Drosophila melanogaster: one gene and its partners. The protein of the gene in region 3 interacts with the protein of the main gene of each other region in a pairwise test. Each region holds a gene or a part of one and is shown on either strand. Other genes may lie near its edges. The genes, in order: Nmda1, CG13047 and CG11581.

Evidence for each region.
Region 1: the proteins of CG11581 (region 3) and Nmda1 interact in a two-hybrid assay, tested with the Drosophila melanogaster proteins (one large-scale study listed by BioGRID).
Region 2: the proteins of CG11581 (region 3) and CG13047 interact in a two-hybrid assay, tested with the Drosophila melanogaster proteins (one large-scale study listed by BioGRID).

The regions. Positions count from the first base shown.
Region 1 is NT_033778.4:12,878,042-12,881,798, reverse strand, and holds the start of Nmda1 (N-methyl-D-aspartate receptor-associated protein), read left to right. Parts: upstream 1-2,000; 5' UTR 2,001-2,110; intron 2,111-2,142; exon of another isoform or gene 2,143-2,351; intron 2,352-2,425; exon of another isoform or gene 2,426-2,595; coding exon of another isoform or gene 2,596-2,602; exon of another isoform or gene 2,603-2,652; 5' UTR 2,653-2,707; coding exon 2,708-2,747; exon of another isoform or gene 2,748-3,072; coding exon of another isoform or gene 3,073-3,088; coding exon 3,089-3,414; intron 3,415-3,477; coding exon 3,478-3,726; intron 3,727-3,757. Other genes in the region: AspRS (Aspartyl-tRNA synthetase), read right to left, coding at 1-291, 524-849, 929-1,009.
Region 2 is NT_037436.4:16,284,153-16,287,526, reverse strand, and holds CG13047 (uncharacterized protein), read left to right. Parts: upstream 1-2,130; 5' UTR 2,131-2,171; coding exon 2,172-2,183; intron 2,184-2,261; coding exon 2,262-2,762; 3' UTR 2,763-2,847; downstream 2,848-3,374.
Region 3 is NC_004354.4:14,175,161-14,178,917, forward strand, and holds CG11581 (uncharacterized protein), read left to right. Parts: upstream 1-1,762; 5' UTR 1,763-1,786; coding exon 1,787-2,791; 3' UTR 2,792-3,296; downstream 3,297-3,757. Other genes in the region: CG1368 (uncharacterized protein), read left to right, coding at 1-368.

The DNA of each region.
Region 1 (3,757 bases), on a different chromosome or scaffold from region 3:
CATACTCCGGCTTCCAGTCGGAAAATGGCCTGATTTGCCGGGGTCCTCAGGTCGAGCACTCGGTTGTCCAAGCGCGTGTCCTGGTTCACGCGAATATTCAGACCTTCCGCATCATCGGCGTTCTCGGGACGCGATGCATCCTCGATTTGCAATGGCAACTGTGCCTTGGCCTGGGATATTACGAATATCTGCTCGACGGACAATTCCAGCGACTGCTCTGTGCAGGATTCAATCTTGCTAGACACCGCCACTGGCTTGGCCTGGATATCAATAATGCTCTCCTTAGGGATACTGAAAAAATAAAGACGTTTTTGAATTATTAAATGAATTATTAAATTTGCAACAACAAAAATTCTAAGCAATGTTTATCATTTCATAAACCTTTAATTGATTTCACGATATCTTATCAAAGTATGATGAAAATATCTATATGGCCTGCGCAATTCAAATTCGATATTGTGCTTTTTTGGGTTACGGCTCTTAAGATAAACTTAAGATATACGAGGGAATATTTATAACTTACTTTCCCGCAAATTTGACCATCTGTTTGGAGATAACATCACCGACAGCCAGGATGCACTGCACCGTGCTGCTCTGCTGGCGCAGGATGAGGAAGCACTGCTTTCCCTTGGCTCTCGAAGTGTGGACGCGTCCTCGCACCCAGACCAGTCCTTTGCCCACCTGACCGCTTAGTTCCGAAACCGGGACAAAGTTGCGTTCACTGCGTTTGTCCTTGGATTGGATCATTTCCGAGAGGCCATATCTTCCGGCGGCGTGATCCTCCGCAGAATCGCCACCAGCGTTATTGGCCGCCGCGGTGGAGGCGTTCTCCGCTTTTTGTTCGGCTTTCTGTACACATAGAGATTAAAGCTGTTATCAGAGGTTCAAGAAAAACAAAACGCCACGTCCCCAAAACAAAGATTCTCACCTTAGCGGCCTTGGCCAGCTTTTTGGCTCCCTTCTTGGAGACCTGCTCCCCGTTGGCCACTTGCTCTTTGTCCTCGACCATCTTGGAATGCACAAAAACGGCTGTAAGGAAGGGAGGGTTGTATATTTTACAAGAGGGTCACAAAACCAGAACGTAGACCACACAGTTTCGATAAGCGAGCAACAGGCGAAAAAGGAGGAGTATTGTGTGCGTTGCGTCATGGTTTTATAAATAGCACTTGGCTGATGAAGTGCCCCATTTGCGAATAAGTGATATTGTCTTCCGGACTGCAGTTCAGTCACCCAGTCTCCTCCTCCAATAGCCATATGTCCACAAATATTTCCGGGGACAGAGAAACACTCTTTGTCTAGCGGCTCGCACATAACCTAAACTTTGCGGTCTTTTATCTGATCATTTACCGATTCTATTCACTTCCTGTCTCTTCCCCTATTGGTTATTTCAATGGTGCATTCGAGTGCACTCGACTTACCAGCTAGATCTTGCCCTTTTAATACACAAACGAATTGATTTCACGAGCGTCGTGTACTATTGCACATGCCACCAGCGCGGTGCAGTCTAGAGGATTTCTATCGCGGCTATCGATATATATCGATTGTTCCATGTGTGCTTCAGGGTGGCGCATTTCTGATTTTGTGACGTCACATGTCCAGCATCCTATGAATTAAGTTGCGCTTAGCTAGTGCTGAAAAATAATATTAGTAAATAAGGAGTATAGTATAGTATAAGAGTTAGTAAGTGCAGAATAATCTCAAAAATAATGAGCATAAGAAAATCTACAGAAGTGCCGTAGTTGAGAAGCTTAAAAAACAAAAGCATCTGTAGCATTTCTCAACATCTGGTGAAGCATTCTTAGTTTAATTACAATACTCTGTATGTTTTAAACATATATAAACGATAGTATATAATTTACAGAAAATGCGCCATAGTGTGGTACGTGTCAAATAAAATTTAAACGCAATAATGTTTAAGCCGAGTTTAATGTAGTCTGTAAATGTACCACTTTCTAAAAAAATTAGTTACACCACCATCGATAATTACAGCTGCGTTCCGATAGCAGTCAGCAGGCACATCTCTGTTAATTTATAGCAAAAAAAAAAAACAAATATTCAGAAAAACAACATTCAATTGTTTGTTTTGATCAAATAGCAACGTAATCCAGAGGTAATTAGTCATCCAAAGAGCATAATTTGAATAATGGGAAGATAGTAGGTCACGTCAAAGAAAATTATAATAGTGTGGTTTCCCGGTAATTTCGAGAAGCTGGCAATTTCCAAAAGTGAGTCACCACTTTTCCTACACCGAGCTGCTGTGTATGTATTATTTGCGCTGGTGGTGCTCCGGCTGAACTAATTTAATAGCTGCGACTACGTTAAAGCGCTTAAGCTCGCAGTTCAGCGTGTAGGTAAGGTTCATAAATGGCCCCAGCTATTTTCAGAGAACCCACACAAGAAAGCTTGAGAGGTACACGTCATGGGGGCCACAACAAACGAAACGGTGCCGAAGTTTCTCAGGCATTACTATAGTGGCAAATTGATTGATAATTAAAGTTGCATGCCACCAAAGGTGTGCACATTTCTTAGACACTAATTAAATTAGCTAATGATTGCTTATCATCGTGTCTTTGCAGGTAAAACAACAACGAAACAATGCAAGGTGAGTGGAATAAGGACAAGCCGTACTAACACATTCTTTTTGGATCTAAGTTTACTCCACAGCGGTTTCGGAATTACATAGAAATCAGAGCGAAGTCCCTCGAGAATGTCCTGGCAAAGTGTTCCCCAGTATCCCCAATACCAAGGTTCAATCTTCTTAACTTCTAAGCGAGTGTTACAGCTTACCCGTTTTCTGATCGCATGCTTTTGTTCGTCCCGGGGCTTGTCGACCCGTTGAATGCTCAGTAATTGCCCAGAGCTGATTCATTTCCATTACCTCTCTCTCTTTACACATCGTACTTGTCCCTTCTTATCATGGTTGTATGTACATATTTGCTCGAGATTGTTTCTTGGTTTACCGCATCTCTTCGTCACGGCGAAGCGTTTCATTTAGATTTTACAGTTCTTGGTAGACAGATTGCTGTAGCGAACGCGTTGGTAGCACCGTTTTAGATGACAAACTAAAACGAGATGTCTTATTTCGCAGATCCCAACCAGCAGTACAACTATGGCGGCGGTAATCCCCCGCAGGGAGGATATGGTGGATATCCACCTCAGGGCGGCTATCCACCTCAAGGACCGCCGCAAGGCTACCCACCCTATGCACAAGGAGGTGCTCAACCCTATCCACAGCCCTACGGACAGGGGCCTCCACCGGGAGGTTATGCTCCCCAGCCGGGATTTATCCAACCACCACCATCTGCTGGCGGCTACGGAGCCTACGATGATCCGGAGAGCCAGCCCAAGAACTTCTCGTTTGACGACCAAAGCATCCGTCGCGGATTCATACGTAAGGTGTACCTGATTCTAATGGTGAGCTTTAGATAATTCTGCATAGAAGGCATGTACAATAAGTTATCATTTCTGTGTCATTAGGGACAACTAATCGTCACTTTTGGAGCTGTTGCCCTGTTTGTATACCACGAGGGCACTAAAACCTTTGCCAGGAATAACATGTGGCTCTTTTGGGTTGCCCTCGGCGTAATGTTAGTAACCATGCTGTCTATGGCTTGCTGCGAAAGTGTGCGCCGCCAAACACCGACGAACTTCATATTCTTGGGTCTGTTTACAGCAGCTCAGTCGTTCTTAATGGGAGTTTCCGCAACCAAATATGCTCCGAAAGAGGTGAGTACTTCGATTTAATTACGATATGTAG
Region 2 (3,374 bases), on a different chromosome or scaffold from region 3:
ATGGAGACTGCATTTGCATAATGTTTTGAAGGTTAATACGCGGGCACACACAAAAAAAAAAGAGGTCTTCGTCCATTGGATTTACACCTTTCACTCTCCTACGATGGGTTAATGGTTGCTATTTACATACACACAAATCGGGCCAAGAGATCTCCATCTCCATCCGCGCCTCATAATGAGACCTCAAACTTGGCATTGGCATTCGGAATTCTCTTGTGAAAACAAAAGAAATCGAGACAACGACTAACTTTTGACGTATATTTATGAAAGCCAATTAAAGTCAAGTGTCATTGATCAGATCTGGGAACGGAACTGGGAACTGGGATCTGGATCTATCTATATATCTAGACATATTTATGCCTGCCGTATAGAACCTGCTTCCCGCGAAAACAAAAACGGGAATTAGAAATATGGTCTGCATAAATTTGGGGCTTAAAAATCAATTAAAGCAAACGGTACTGACGACAGCCAAACAATTCCTAAGAGGGATAAAGCTTCTGATGAGCCTCTAAATCAGATTGCAAATAAATTTAAAAGGTTAACTAGGAAGTGAGCGGATCGCACAGCTGTGAAGTGGAGTGCTGAAGACAAGAAGTTGATGGCGATGGTCTATGAAGATGAAGATGAAGATGGTTAAAGATGTACTCATTTCCGTGCTTGAGTCACCGGAAAATTGGCGCGTCATCGGTTGAGAATTCCTGTCCAGAAATTGTGAACAAGTGAACGAGAAGAGGTCACCCTTGGAGTTGGAATGTACTAGCTGTGGTTGCTGCCAAGATTGGATCAATCCGATCAAAAGTGGCCACAATGCGGATACAGAATACAGAATATATGGAAAAGTATACAGTTACATGCGTGGGGCAACTTGATCACCAGATATCATTTATATACATATATATATATCGCCCTCTCGACTCGTCATCGCGACAACCTTGAGACCGGCGTCATCATCGTATCGGATTTCAGAAGCAGCTATAAAATAACGACCATTTAGATACTCTATACGATTTGTTAGTAAGCGGTATGAGTATAATATTTTGTGACTGTACTACAGAAAAACTTCGATTTTTCATAAACTCGCTCTTTGAAATCATGCTCCTAATGGGTTGTTCTACCAAGTCATTGACACTAAAATATGCTAATTTACAAACATTCATAAGTAGCAAAAGTACCCGATCATAAAGAGTAAAACAATGCAAATCGCAGACACCAAGCCATCAGATGACGACGATGCTGCTGACCAGGCCAGCACGTGACCGAGAGAGACCGAGAGAGATGGCTCATTAAGTCAGCTAGCAAGCAGGTTTCGACTGCTCGATCATTCGGCCCCGCGCCTTGTTGGCCAATTAAGCTGAAGCGAATTGATGAGACCCACTGGATGAGGATGAGGGTGCATCACATCCTGTGGCCAGGTGGCGTCAAGGTCAGGTCAACACGAAAACAAATGAAGACCCGTCGGCTAGGATGAGAGGGAAATTTACGACCGCCTTTTATTGGCGTCTCTGCAAGCCATTAAAAAGTGAACTAATGAGACACTTAGTGGGCCGGAATCGTGGCCTTTGAGGAAGGGGTACCATTTTTATGGCCAATTTGACTTAGATTGCGGCCAATTCAATGCGAAGCGGCGCACATTGATGGCCCAAACAGACTGCAAATTACGACAAGACAGCCCGGCCACCGAGTCAGTCTTCAATTGCATACAAATGTCGATCACTGCACTTGGAAAAATTTTTATAAAGACTATAACTTGGTATGCTATACAAAAAGTTTACCTCTGCATGTAAATACACTGCACTAAATAGTTAAGGTTAAAAATTTTAAATAAAATATTTATACATTGAAATCAGAATTATATCATATCTTTTCTTATAATATTTACCAAAGCTCAAATATTTTTCCAAGTGCAACCGAAATATTCAAGCGACAACTTGGACAACTTCCGACAGTCCATTGGGCAATTGAAGGCGGAGCACGTCTTGGCCAAATGGCGATCATGTATGCTACTTGGCACTCGACCAGGTGGGCCAGCTAATGAAGAAGCGACCAAAAATCGGCTCAGACAGAATGTCCCCCAAAGAGCACGGATATGGGCACGAGCTATATAAGCCACTGGTCTGGCTCCAAATGAACATTATCGCTCAAGTGCTTTAGACAAACCCAACCACAGCAATATGTACAAGTTTGTAAGTGATCCTATGGGGATTAGCGCCCAAACAATGTGGACTAAGAGGTGGTTAATGATTACCTATCCTATTTTCCAGTTGGTTCTCGCTGCCCTCATCGCCTGCTCTGCGGCCAAACCAGGAGTTGTAGCTCCACTGGCTGCTCCTCTGGCTGCTCCCCTGGCCTACGCTAATGCTCCTCTGTACGCCGCAGGTGGCAGCAGCCAGGTGGATGTCCGCAACAACTACGACGGCACCCTGTCCTCCTACACCACCGCTCCGTTCGAGTTCGCCGGCCCCTACTCCAGCCGCTATGTGTCCGGAATCCCAGCTGCCCCCGCCGTGGTGGCCAAGTACGCTGCTGCTCCTCTGGCCGCCGCCTACTCTGCTCCTCTGGCTGCTCCCGTCGCTGCTCCTCTGGCCGCTGCTCCCGTTGCTGCTCCTCTGGCCGCTGCTCCCTATGCCGCCGCTGCCTACTCCGCCTATCCCTATGCCTCGCCCTACGCTGCACCCTACCTGGCATCTCCCTACGCCGCTCCCTACGCTGCATCCTATGCTGCTCCCATCGCCGCTGCTGCTCCAGCTCCAGTGGTGGTCTAAGGACACACCTGTGAAGCAGGCCAAACTATAGGAAATTTTTGATAAACAAAAAAAAAAACTGATAATAAATTACGAACCAACAATTAGAGCGCACCATCTTATTATTTGCAGAAATGCCTTGAATAATTAACGAAAAACGAAAGTACTATTATTTATCGGATATTTTTGGTTCATGAAAATTCAATTGGACGCTCATTTCGATTGGGTCAATATATATATATTTCTTAAGAAAATATAAAATAACTTCTTTACTTAACTATGATCAATTTTTGATTAGATGATTCCTTTTGTGCAAGTGGTTTTATTAAGCATCCATATATTTCCAGATTTCAGATAGAGGAAGTTATTTAATTTTTTTTTAGAAACTTTAGAACTTTCCATTTAATGCTCTGAATTTCTCGTTTCTCACTCATTTCTTTGATATGCAAAATAAGCTTGTTTATTGGTGGATATCATTTAATACAAATTATGCATAAATTATAGGTCTGCATTTAATTTTTAATGGAATTTTTTCTAACAGCTGCATTGAATTTTAAAGATAATATTGACAAAGTAGCAACATACATAAGTTAGGGACTTAGGGAAGTTAAAGTCAGACAACTTGGTCACCAT
Region 3 (3,757 bases):
TGCCTCCTGTGCAGACCTACTCCGCACCGGCCGTCCAGAGGACCTACTCCGCACCAGCTGTCCAGAGGACCTACTCCGCCCCCTCTGTTAGCTACTCGGCACCCTCTGTGAGCTACTCGGCTCCATCGGTCAGCTACTCCGCTCCTGCTGTCCAGCAGTCGTACTCCGCTCCATCGGTCAGCTACTCCGCCCCTGCTGTCCAGCAGTCGTACTCCGCTCCATCGGTCAGCTACTCCGCCCCTGCTGTCCAGCAGTCGTACTCCGCTCCTGCCGTCAGCTACTCCGCCCCATCGGTGAGCTACTCTGCACCCTCCGTGGATGTGGGCACCCAGTACGCCTCCAACGGTGGCTACGTCTACAGGAAGTAGGGATCTTCAACGAAGAGGCCTGCAACTGAACACGAAACAGTGTCCATAACTACATACTGCCCAAATTAACCATATATTTTTTTTTTTTGTTTTGTAAACTTTTGTTTACAACGAAATAAACCGAAACATCAATAATCCAAATAAATACTTTTGTTTTTAAAATGGGTTTCAGAGTTATAAAAACAAGCGTCTAATATTAATATTAATAAAATTTTTAACAAGTGTATCCCTATTCACTTTATATCAAAATTCCGGACCAGGATACCAAAATAGCGTACTAAAAACCACGCGCGACTTGAGTGCGGTTTGGTTGCGGTTTAGGTGCGGTTTTGTTGCGGTTTTGATGCGGTTTGAGTGCGGTTCGTTTTCAAAATCGAACGTCAAAAGCAAGTGCTTGTTGGTGCTTAATACTTCAGAGTAGACAAAAGGTGGCACTTTATAAGCCAATAAAAATATAATAAAGTATACGAATGATATGTCCATACAAAGTAAAGAAGATTTATTGGCATTAGTCTATAATGGTAATTTTCAAAATTAAAAAGCTTAATTCTTCGACTAGTTAACACTAAAACCTGTAGGACAAGAACATAAACATTTAACATACATCAATGTTTTAACTAAGTATTAGCGTTAAAAAATATAATATAAAGCTTTAATTAAGTTGGGCTTTTTATAAACAGCTTGCAGCTTTGATTAAACTTGGAAGCTGCGACTATTTTAAGCATTTTCAAAGAGCTTTTAGTTTAAATATAGCATGAAACTTTATGGTTTTCCTAGTTTTAACACTAAGCTTTTGAGTATTTCAAAACTATGACTTGCAGATACATTTTCTGAGAGTGCTTGGCATTTCTGAAAAATTATTTACTCAAGACTTTTTGAAATCATTCAAAACCATTATTTAGTATATTACAGTAAATAAAACGAACCTCCTCGACGTTTTTCCTGTTTTTAATTAACACCCTTTTGCTTTCAGGTAGTAATTTTTAAAATTTAATATTCATCATAAAGCTGAGCAAGAACTTGAATCTAAATCAAATAAAATGTTACCCTTTCATTGTTCTTTCTTTTCGTTTATTGAATCTTTTTCATTATCGCCTCTTTTCTTTGTGCGATGCTGAATTTAACATTCGATTTCGGCGTTAGTTTATTTATGTAAAATCCGGCCGCTAAATTAAATTTTATAGTTCAGTTTTGGCACCTCCCCTCGCACCTTCGATCACCTTTGGATTGGCGATTATTTATGGAACCTTTGTGATGATGCAAAGCAATTTCCGTTCGCCGAATGCGAAAGTGAAATGAGCCGGCCGCGAATTTATGTAATATGTTGATATGCCGTCTTATATATGGCGGATTTGGGGCCCGTGGCCGCATAGCCACCGTCGCCGTGCAAGTTCCCAGAGATCAAACCGGAGCTCGAGATGATGCAGCCATGGGCCGTTGTGGTCCTACTTCTGCCCCTGATCAACGGAGATGTGAGTCACCTGCCCAGGGAATATATACCGCCCAGTGCGGAACTGGAGCCAACCACACGGTCTGCTGCTGATGGCCAGGAGGTGCAGAAGGATCCATCTGGATTCTATCCATCGACTGGACTGCCACTGCCGCCGGGCTATGCCATTCCCACGGGCAGCAACGTTTTGCCACAGCCTGTCCAGCCGCCAAACTTCCCTCTGCCCATCTATCCACCATTCTACGGCTTCGGCGGAGGTCCTGTCGAGCAGGGAGGAGGACATGGTATTGGGCCAGTGCCTTCGGCCTATCCCAACGGAGGTGCATTCCCGGCGGGTCCTACCAATGGAGGCGCATTCGCAGGGGGTCCTACGAATGCGGCCTTCCAACTGCCACCAGGTGGTCCTTTCGGTCCGCAAGCTGGTAATTTTGCCCAGCCAGGTGGTTTCCCGCAGGCAGGTGGGTTTCCCCCACAAGGAGCTGGCTTCCAGCCACAAGGCATCCCTGGCAATGGATTCCCAACGCAAGGAGCTCCCTTCTCACCACAGCAGGGAGTGTTCCCATCACAAGGAGGTGCCTTCGGGCCACAGGGAATACCGGGCAATGGTTTCCTAGGAGGTAACTTCCCGCCACAGGGAGGGCCCTTCCCAGGATCCGCATATCCACCGGAGTTCTTGACAAACCAGGGACTTCCCCTCACAAATCCCCAGGGTCCCTTCCAAGGACCCAGTCCAGCAGGATTCAATGTGCCCGCAGGATTCGGCGGACCTGTGCCCGGCCAGAATCCCTACCAACAATTTGGACCCGGTTTCGGAGGACCCGCTCCGCCGGGCTACTCCGATGAGCCGGCGAAGGAGCAACCAAAGGACAGTGAGAGGACAGTAGTGGCACCACCATCGGCCGACGATCCCAAGAGTGTGGCGGATACGGTTTACGCATCCAATGGCGGCTATGTCTACAAGAGGGCCAAGTAATGCGATGGCTTTCGAAGCCCCAAATTGGGGAGTTCATCAAACATGTTCGCCATAAATTATGATCCATATTTTGTTTTTTTTTTTTCTTGTATTTTTTGTGCCTTTGTTTTTATTCATTTATTTGATCTGCTGGCCATAAAGATGCGGACAGACAAAACGATTGTCTCTATGCTAATCGAAATCTTTGCCAAAACTGACTGATAACCATAAACGAGACAATCTATCGTCGTGATTGATACATATATATAGACAGACCTATGTTTTATGCATACCCTGGCCAGACACATATGTGTTCATAAACTATGTTGTCTTCAAAAGTCAATACAAGGCGATTAAAGGCTGAAATAAAAAACACGATTAGTGGTTTGGGTGTGGACTAAAACCGAAGTCCTACGATAATTATGCACATTCACCATCAAGGTTTATTGAACTCTGATATGTTTCTGGATGGAATTAAGTTTAAACAAAATGGTACAAGAATTAAAAAAAAAAACATCCACAACTTAAAAGCAGTAATAGTTTATCATGCAACAACAATGGATCATTAAAAATGGATTTATGTTTATCATTTCATATTCTAAAATAAATCCAACTTAAAAACGAATAAATTCAAATGATTGTCTTACATGTATAAATTTTGAATTGACGTCACAGAAAAGAGGTAGAGAAAGAAGCTGCCCACCTAAAGGGCAAACTTAATCGATTTAAGTTAATTTCAGCGAAATTCAAAGAACCTTCTGAGTTAATTTTAGCTTCGCGATATTTTTTTTTTTTTTTTTAATTTGCCAAACTAGTTTCTGACGTCAAAGAGTTTCCCCTAAAGAACATACATACATTTATGATAATGAACTTCTTTTCGTGAACTTAAGATGGTTATCGAAAAGGGGATTTTTCCATAGTTTAAAACCAGACTTATTCAACTCCCATGTTTGGTTTCAAAAGTCTATAGACTTCAACTAGCCCGAA